Linked DNA regions of Tribolium castaneum. The protein of the gene in region 1 interacts with the protein of each later gene in a pairwise test. Links are inferred from orthologs where the notes say so. Each region holds a gene or a part of one and is shown in the gene's direction. Other genes may lie near its edges. The genes, in order: phytanoyl-CoA dioxygenase, peroxisomal; Pex7.

Region 1 (4,465 bases):
ACCGTCAGGAGGAGCAAACACGCTTGACAGTCTTCAGCCAAGTAGGACACATGTCCGTATAAAAAACCACTAGCGTCAAACCGTGGAAGACATAACGGTGTCCAACTTTCAGCCGTTTTGAGGCTTTCGGAGGCTTGGACTAAGTTAAATATTAAATGGAGATCGGCCGGGTGAAGGCAATATTTTTTCATGCGGACTAGAGTGATAAGTTTATTGTTTGCGAGAAGTATTGCGAAAACTAGGTTCTGGAAACGATATTTTAAAAATGTTTTTTGAAACAATTTTTTTACTTTAATTTTGCTGCAAGCTCCGACAATGGCCGAGCTGATGTTGTCTCTCACTGAGGACGCAAGTGACAGACACTGGACTGCGCCCAAAGTGAACGAAGGCTCCTTCTCTGAGAAATCTAGCAAGTGGTCAATGAGTCTCTCAACACCTGCCAGAAGCCGTCTTAAGTCATAATTCTGGCGTTGCTCGTAAATTTTATTAAGTCTAGTCAAGGTTAAGACACTGGCTATTTGATTAAATACGTAGCTGCAATAAACAAAACTAGAAAAAATAACAAAGTGGGAACCCTCACTTTAGTTGTGAACACAGCTGATTTACACTTTCCTGCGTTCGAGAAACGGCGACTAAAATTAACGGTTTCTTAATTAAAAAGACAAACTTCGTGTCCCCGGCATGGATGCTCCTAATGGTGTCCTCATTTGACTGTACGAAGCTAACCAGTGTTTGCATAACACCGAACAACCAGGCTAGCTTATCCTCGTTTCCATATCTGAGACATAAGTTGTAAAGAAAAAAATTATGCAAACGATAACAACCTCGAATAGATGGGTTTCCCGGCCATGCTGAGGACAAAGACATGTTTGTTCTTACAAGCCCACTCCTTTGACTGGACGAAATCGTCCTCTTCGTTGTTAATTGAGAGATTCTCGCTGATTTCGTCAAAATTCTCGACGTTGCTGTTTTCCACGTTTGAGTCGTTTTCCGCGAGTGCATTCAGGTTTTTGATTTCTTCGAGGCTCGAGCTCATGTGATCAAAATTGTCAAAGGAGTCGGTGGTAACAAGGACACTCTCGGAGGCTGCCCCCGGCTCAACTTCCAGATTCGAGGACATTTTTTGTTGGGGGTTTTAGTTCACGTGAAATTCACGAACATTCTTGAAAAATCGTCGGAATTTTGTTGGGTTTTTGAGATTTCAATGCATTGCTCTTTGATTGATTGATTTCTAACCTCAACCTGACATTTTTTTGACAGTTGTCAATTTTGGTGCCAACCTTCTAACTAATACTTCTAACTAAAACTCTTAAGGCAGGGCTTTAAGGTGGTTAAACAAGTTAAGAGCAACTATTATATTAATTGAGTTTCCGCTTTTCCAAGTTTTTTAAATACGTAGTTATTGTGTAAAAAATAAGAGAATGTCATTTTTTATTTTATTGCACTACATTTTGGTTTCAAATTAATTTTGATTTTGGTAGTAGTATGTTATTTCAAACTTGAAAATAAATACATCACTGAAATACACTTAATTTATTTAAAAATATAGCATTACCAACCTTCTAACTAGATAAATAGTGAAATTTTAGTTAGATCATCTGTTGGGTATGCAGAGGTCAAGACTTTTATTATTTACTGTACTTTGCGTGCTGTGATAACGAGGTGAGTGTTTAACAACTAACAAACAACGATAATAAGAAAAAGCATTTGTTAGTTCCTTTTTACGCACAAATAATTATTATAGTGTGTTACAATTTGAGCGATATGTATATCTACGGCTTAAGTAGTAGGTACTTAAGTAACAAAATCGAGAAAAAAATAGACAGTATGTTTAATTATAAGTTTAAGGATCGGTTTACAGAAAGCGAAATTAAGATTTAATTCGAAATTAAACTAATTCGAATTAAGTTGCCATTTAAAATGCATTGACAAATGTCAAGTTAATCGCGATTAAAATTTAATTGCAATTAAAATTTTCTGTAAACCGGCTCTTACTGTTCTCGTATCATTGATTTATTTATTTAAACGGTGGGATGCTTGACATTTGATTAAAAACAGTACAAGTAAATTCAAAGTAATTGTTTATTATTGAGTATCTGTTCGATAATGTGTTGTTATTACTTACTACTGACACTGAAATCATTAAGTACATGTTTTTTGTATTGTTATAAATAAATGCTTCAATGACGCAACATAATTCAAGTGTATTTAATAAACAAGATAATTTTATGTTTTAGTGTATTATTCGGACAAGTTTCTTAAGAGAATTGTCTGCGTTACCGAACAAAATGGGAAGGTAATTTAGTTAAACAAAAAATTAAGTGCATATTAATAAGTACAATTTTTAGATTTAGGTATACTCAAGACGGTGGTGTTCTAACATACGAACAACGCCAATTTTATGAAGATAATGGATATATTGTGATAAAGAACAATGTTAGTCATGCCTTATTGGATGAAATTCAGTAATGTTTCCTTTAATTTTCTTTAAATATTTTATTATTATTTTTAATACAGAGATAGATTCATCAAAATATGCGACGGAGTGGCTGACCCTGGATTTATGACTGTTATGAAAGACCCTTCTTTAAAACATAAAGGTGTCAGAGGGCAATATTTAATAAATAAGGTATGATAATAAAAATTGCTACGTTAAGTTTTTGTGAATACAAAAGCATTTGCTGTTGAATGCTTCATTTTGTTCTATACTCATGTGTTTTTTTTAATATTTCTTTCAAAATTTTACATTAATAGTTAAGAAATTAAGTATTTATGATAGGAAACGCTGAAAACATGAAAAAAATTTCAGATCCAAGATTTTCTTTACGATGAAGTTCTTTTCAAATATTGTTCGGACAAACCAGTGGTTGATGTCATTGAGAGTATAATAGGCCCCAACATTACGGGGGCTCATTCCATGCTAATAAACAAGCCCCCTGATGCTGATCCTGGTGCGTCTTTGCATCCTCTACATCAAGTATTTTTTGCTTATTTTTCTAGTAAAATTTGAAATTGTGATAAAAATTTTAGGACCTACATTATTTTCCCTTTAGACCTGCAGACCGAATTGCAGCGTCATGGACCGCAATGGAGCGAGTCGATGAAAATAATGGTTGTCTTTACGTAATTCCCGGAAGTCACAAATGGGAATTGTACCCCCATACTTACCCTCAAGTATTTTTTTATTGCTTTAAAATTAATTAAACGTTTATTTTTTTAATTCAAGGGATACAAAAATCGACTGTATCATGGTGTTCAAGGCCTTGATCATTTACCAAAAGTGAACGTTGTGATGGAAAAAGGCGATACAGTCTTTTTCCACCCCATTCTTTTGCACGGCTCGGGACCTAATCGAACAAAAGTATTTTTTCTCGAATTAATTTCAGCCTAATTTTTAAACTATTCCTGCCAGGGTTTTAGGAAAGCGATTTCTTGTCACTACGCTGATAGCAACTGTTACTTTATCGATGTTAGAGGCACACTTCAGGAACATATCGCTGAAGAGATTGAAACTCTAGCTAAGAAAAAGGGGGCGCCTATGAAATTTGTCGTACGTTTGGTTGAGAAATTTAAAAAAACATGAAATTTATTTACTCATTTTTAGGAGATTTGGAAGGCTAAGAGCCGCTTAGTTAGGGGAATCCCTGGCAATTTCCAAAACTTGGAGAGCCATTTGTAAAAAATAACGGGAAAGGGTTAATAATTTGTAAAAATTGTAAATTTTATATTTTTAAATGTGAGAATAAAGTGTCGACATTTGACGATGACTTTCGTTTTTGCGTTTTTTTGTGATTCTTACTGAGCTGTCGCAACTTGGCAACATGTTGCGGCTTGGGTACTGCAAAATGAAGTGAGCAACATAAATGTGATAACAAAACTTACGTGTTCTCCACGGAATGTAAACTGCGTTTTTTTCATCGAATATTTCGTCGTCTAATTCCTTATTTTGCTTCAATATACTGATCGATACCGCTTTTTGAATGGCGGACGAGTAATTTTTCGACAATTCTGTACAAAAATTTGAACACGCGAACAAAACGCTCGTAAACATTTACCTGGAACCTTGTTTGCCAAATTTACGCTTTTGTGTAATCTCTGGGCGATGCGTTCGCCGTGAAGCCGCTTCAAAAAATTTCGGGTGTGGTCGGAAATATTTTTTTGGTCCAGTGTGTCTAAACAATAGGCGTTGGCGATAATTTCCTCCTTGTACAGCCGGTTTTTGCAGATGGGGTTGGCGGCGAGAACTAGGTCTTTCAAATAAAACCAGTCTTTTATAACTCCGCAAACCTCGTCAATGTTACTGAGTTCGTTATGAGAGGCATTGAACACTCTTAACGATTTAAGGGGCGCTAAAGACGAGATCGTCTGGATTTTATTGTACGATATATTGAGGATTTGGAGCGTGTGCTTTAAAGAAATCATTAATATCGGGGCTTGGATCAGTCTTACACGCACTGATAAGGCA
Region 2 (3,593 bases), on another chromosome or scaffold:
TCGGCCACTTTCTCGGAAACTTCCTTTTCGTTTTCTTTATCCTCGCTGGGTTTCGCCTTCTTGGCTTCGGTGCAATTATCGTCAGGCGTCGCCTCTTTTCGTTTTTCCCCTTCACTCTTTTTTTCACCCTCTTTGGTAACCTTCTTTTCCACGGGCTTTGCCTTAGCTTTGGGCTCGTTTTTCTTAAGTACGACCTCGGGATTGGAATAACGCGAAGTCAGTGCGGGAATCGGGACTTTATTGACCTGAGTTGTTCGTGTGAGGCAATACTTTGGCTTGATGCGGGTCAGAGTCTTGACACTTGTAGTGGTGGTGATGGTTTTGGCGGTAGTTGTGGGGGTGGAAGTAGTGACGGGGTTTCGCGGTAATAGGATGATGGGTGGCGGTCTGGTAATGATTTGAGGAGCGAGCGGAAGGACGGTTTGCTGTGGTAGTACCGGCATTATGGTACCGTTGGCCAAAATCAAAGTGCCGGGGCCGAGGGGCGGCATGGAAGCAACGGTCTTGGCCGCTTTCGACGACACCAAAGGATTAGCAACAAGAGTTGAGTTCGTAATGACTGAAATTATTTTTTTAGAATGGATCAAACAAAAACATTCAATTACCAGTGGAAGAACCACCCAAAATATTGTTTGAAGGCGCGTTTGTGATTATGTAACACGGTTGTGTGGCATTCGGTTGCGACAACACAATCACACATTTTGAAGTTGGTATTGGTTTAATTTTCTTTTTCTTCGAGGGGCGCAATTTTTTAGAGTCGGACCTGTTCAAAATTGCTTTTCTGTGCTTGGGCGTGCTGTTTTTGTTCCGGCTCTTATTTGTGAATTTGCGGCCTTGGAGTTTCTTGGCCGAAGCATTATTTTCCTCTACAAATCCAAATTAAGGACACACTTTTTTGTATTTTTTGCACCTTACTGTCGAGCTCCTTCTTTTGTAAAATCTTGGCCTGCTCGGGCATAATTTTATTACACCAATTAAACGGAGGTTTGAACTTCCTGAGGGAGCACCCTGGCGGGATTGTGATCTTCGCTTCACGTAAAAGGGCGCACAACTGCTCATTTTTACTGAGAAGTTTCCTGATACGTTCTTGCAATTTTTTAAGCTCTTCGCCTAAAAAAGGGACTACAATTGGTGGCGTCAACTACCCTTAAAATTTACCCTTGATTTTTTTAGCCGGTTCGTCATTGTCTTGCGAGACTAGGGTTTTAACCTTGGTTTGGAGCTCCTCAATGTAACTGGCAGCATTACGCAAAATATCGATTTTACTAACGTTCGTAGCCGGGTCATAGCATGGCAATAATTTACATAACGTGGCAAAAGCCTCATTTAAACGATTCCTTCGTTCTTTTTCCCATTCGCGACACTTACTAAAAAAAACTTTAAGTAAACGAAGCTACGTAAGACACTAACCTTGACTCTCTGGGCATAATTATAACAATAAATTAAGCGAAACCGCATTTTCAATAAATTAGAACGATATTTCAAGCCTTTAGGTCCTCAACAGATAACAAATTTATTTACAACATAACCTCCTAATGTCAAGAATTTTGGGAAGTGGTTACCGTCACAATTTTTTTTAGCATTTTTTTTTTGTAAAAAAAATAATAAATTTCAAACGATATAAAAATTATAACCCCGCAAAGACATTGCACAACAATGCGTGTTATTTTTAATTAATTAGGGCCACTGCGGGCGCTTTGTTGCGTGTTTGTCGGCCGATTGGTGTGGCTTTGGCCACTTTCGGCCCTTGACAGCCGTTTGACAACTGTCAAACCGCGTTAAATTTTAAATATTAAAAGAATGAAAATGTCGTAAGTGCGCGATTATGGCCACTTATCTCACCCCGAACCGGCACGGCTACAGCGTCCGGTTCTCCCCCTTCAACCCCGACCGCTTGGTGGTGGCGACAAGCCAGTACTTCGGGCTGGCCGGTGGTGGCACCCTCTTCATCCTAGACGTGAGCCCCGAAGGCAAGCTTTGCGAGACGCAGTCGTACCAATGGTCCGACGGCCTGTTCGACGTCGTGTGGTCGGAGTGCAACCCCAGCCTGGTGGTGAGCGCGTCCGGGGACGGCGGGCTGCAGCTGTGGGACCTGTCGTCGCCCAACAGCCCCCCGGTGACGCTGTGGGAGCACAAGAAGGAGGTTTACTCGCTGGACTGGTCGCGGACGCGGCAGGAGCAGCGCATCCTGAGCGCGTCCTGGGACTGCTCCATCAAGCTGTGGGACCCCAATCGACAATCATCGATCAGCACGTTCTGTGGCCACTCGCAGCTGGTCTACAACGCGATGTTTTCCAACCATATGCCCAACTGCTTCGCGTCCGTGTCGGGGGACGGGAGCTTGAAGCTCTGGAGCACCCTGAACCCCCAGAGCCCCACGTCGTCGTTTCGGGTGCACGATGCGGAGGTGCTGGCCTGTGATTGGTGTAAATACGACGAAAATATGCTGGCGACGAGTGGGTCGGACGGACTGATTCGCGGGTGGGACATTAGGAATTACACGCAGCCGGTGTTTCAATTGAAAGGGTGCGAGTATGCGGTCAGGAGGGTGCAGTTTTCGCCGCATAACGCCACGGTTCTGGCGTCGGTCAGTTACGATTTTACGACAAGGATTTGGGATTTTAAACAGGGTTGTGACGCTTTAGAGACTATTAAGCATCACTCGGAGTTCGTGTATGGGCTGGACTGGAATACTCATAGAAAGGGGCAACTGGCCGATTGCGGGTGGGACAGTTTGGTTCATGTTTTTACCCCAAAATGCCTCGATAGTTATAACTGAAGACTGGAGTCAGTTCCTAATATTTGACCAATTGGTTCAATCATGAAGAAGGTCGGCTCGTATGAATGAAATGAGGTGGCAACGATTATTCTGAAACGGTTTTTGTTCATACGACCCTTGTAGCCAATTTACAGATAATGTTGATTTGTTTTATGGGTTCATGACGAAGACTGAAATGTCTCTAAATTGTTTTAACCGTAATTTGTTGCTTTTATTTTTTATATTTGTATTGAAAATTCTGAAATAAATTTGTAAAAAAATTAACTGCTTTTTATTCTCTCCATTTTAAAATTTTAATGGTCGAGACGCTTGCCTTCATGAATATGAAAAAAAAATTGAAACTCATTCTAGCAAAGTTTTATGAACTTTTATATGCATATACAACACACTCGAGTTGTTAAAAGTCCAAAAAAGTCCATATTTTTTGATGTTTGATTTTTTCAATTTTTGTCGCGATTTTGGTCGATTTCGAGTACCCGGAACATTTATCGAGCAATAACTCCGAAACTATTAGAGATAACCCTACGAAGTTTACTATCATTGGAAAGCTCTTTAAATTATCTATTTTTTTCAAAAAAGATTATTGTTCTCCGACTAATAGTTTTCGAGCAAATTGCTGCTAAATGCAAAAATTGGTAAAAAACTATCGTGAATTTGGCAATTTTCTCGATGCCAATCGATTCCCCGGATCATTTTGAATAGGTGAGGATCAAAACAGTCCCACTTTTTTGAATAGTTTAGCCGTAAATGAGAAAATAAAAAAAATTAAAAAAAAGTTGACACCCCCCCCTTAAAATCGGTCAATTTTTAAAGT

What was found.
Region 2: the proteins of phytanoyl-CoA dioxygenase, peroxisomal (region 1) and Pex7 interact in a two-hybrid assay, tested with the Homo sapiens proteins (2 studies listed by BioGRID, with this or other methods). The link is inferred for Tribolium castaneum from reciprocal best matches to the Homo sapiens genes PHYH and PEX7.

What each region holds. Positions count from the first base shown.
Region 1 is NC_087396.1:19,983,691-19,988,155, reverse strand, and holds phytanoyl-CoA dioxygenase, peroxisomal, read left to right. Parts: upstream 1-1,526; 5' UTR 1,527-1,662; intron 1,663-2,237; 5' UTR 2,238-2,288; coding exon 2,289-2,296; intron 2,297-2,348; coding exon 2,349-2,465; intron 2,466-2,517; coding exon 2,518-2,629; intron 2,630-2,809; coding exon 2,810-2,977; intron 2,978-3,030; coding exon 3,031-3,174; intron 3,175-3,226; coding exon 3,227-3,361; intron 3,362-3,412; coding exon 3,413-3,550; intron 3,551-3,604; coding exon 3,605-3,679; 3' UTR 3,680-3,722; downstream 3,723-4,465. Other genes in the region: vacuolar fusion protein MON1 homolog, read right to left, coding at 1-245, 291-534, 581-778, 825-1,120; protein phosphatase 1 regulatory subunit 42, read right to left, coding at 3,723-3,838, 3,883-4,008, 4,056-4,407, 4,456-4,465. UniProt on the Homo sapiens protein: Catalyzes the 2-hydroxylation of not only racemic phytanoyl-CoA and the isomers of 3-methylhexadecanoyl-CoA, but also a variety of other mono-branched 3-methylacyl-CoA esters (with a chain length of at least seven carbon atoms) and straight-chain acyl-CoA esters (with a chain length longer than four carbon atoms).
Region 2 is NC_087395.1:23,090,925-23,094,517, reverse strand, and holds Pex7 (peroxisomal targeting signal 2 receptor), read left to right. Parts: upstream 1-1,730; 5' UTR 1,731-1,825; coding exon 1,826-2,779; 3' UTR 2,780-3,043; downstream 3,044-3,593. Other genes in the region: mucin-2, read right to left, coding at 1-559, 606-866, 916-1,110, 1,159-1,367, 1,411-1,427. UniProt on the Homo sapiens protein: Receptor required for the peroxisomal import of proteins containing a C-terminal PTS2-type peroxisomal targeting signal. Specifically binds to cargo proteins containing a PTS2 peroxisomal targeting signal in the cytosol.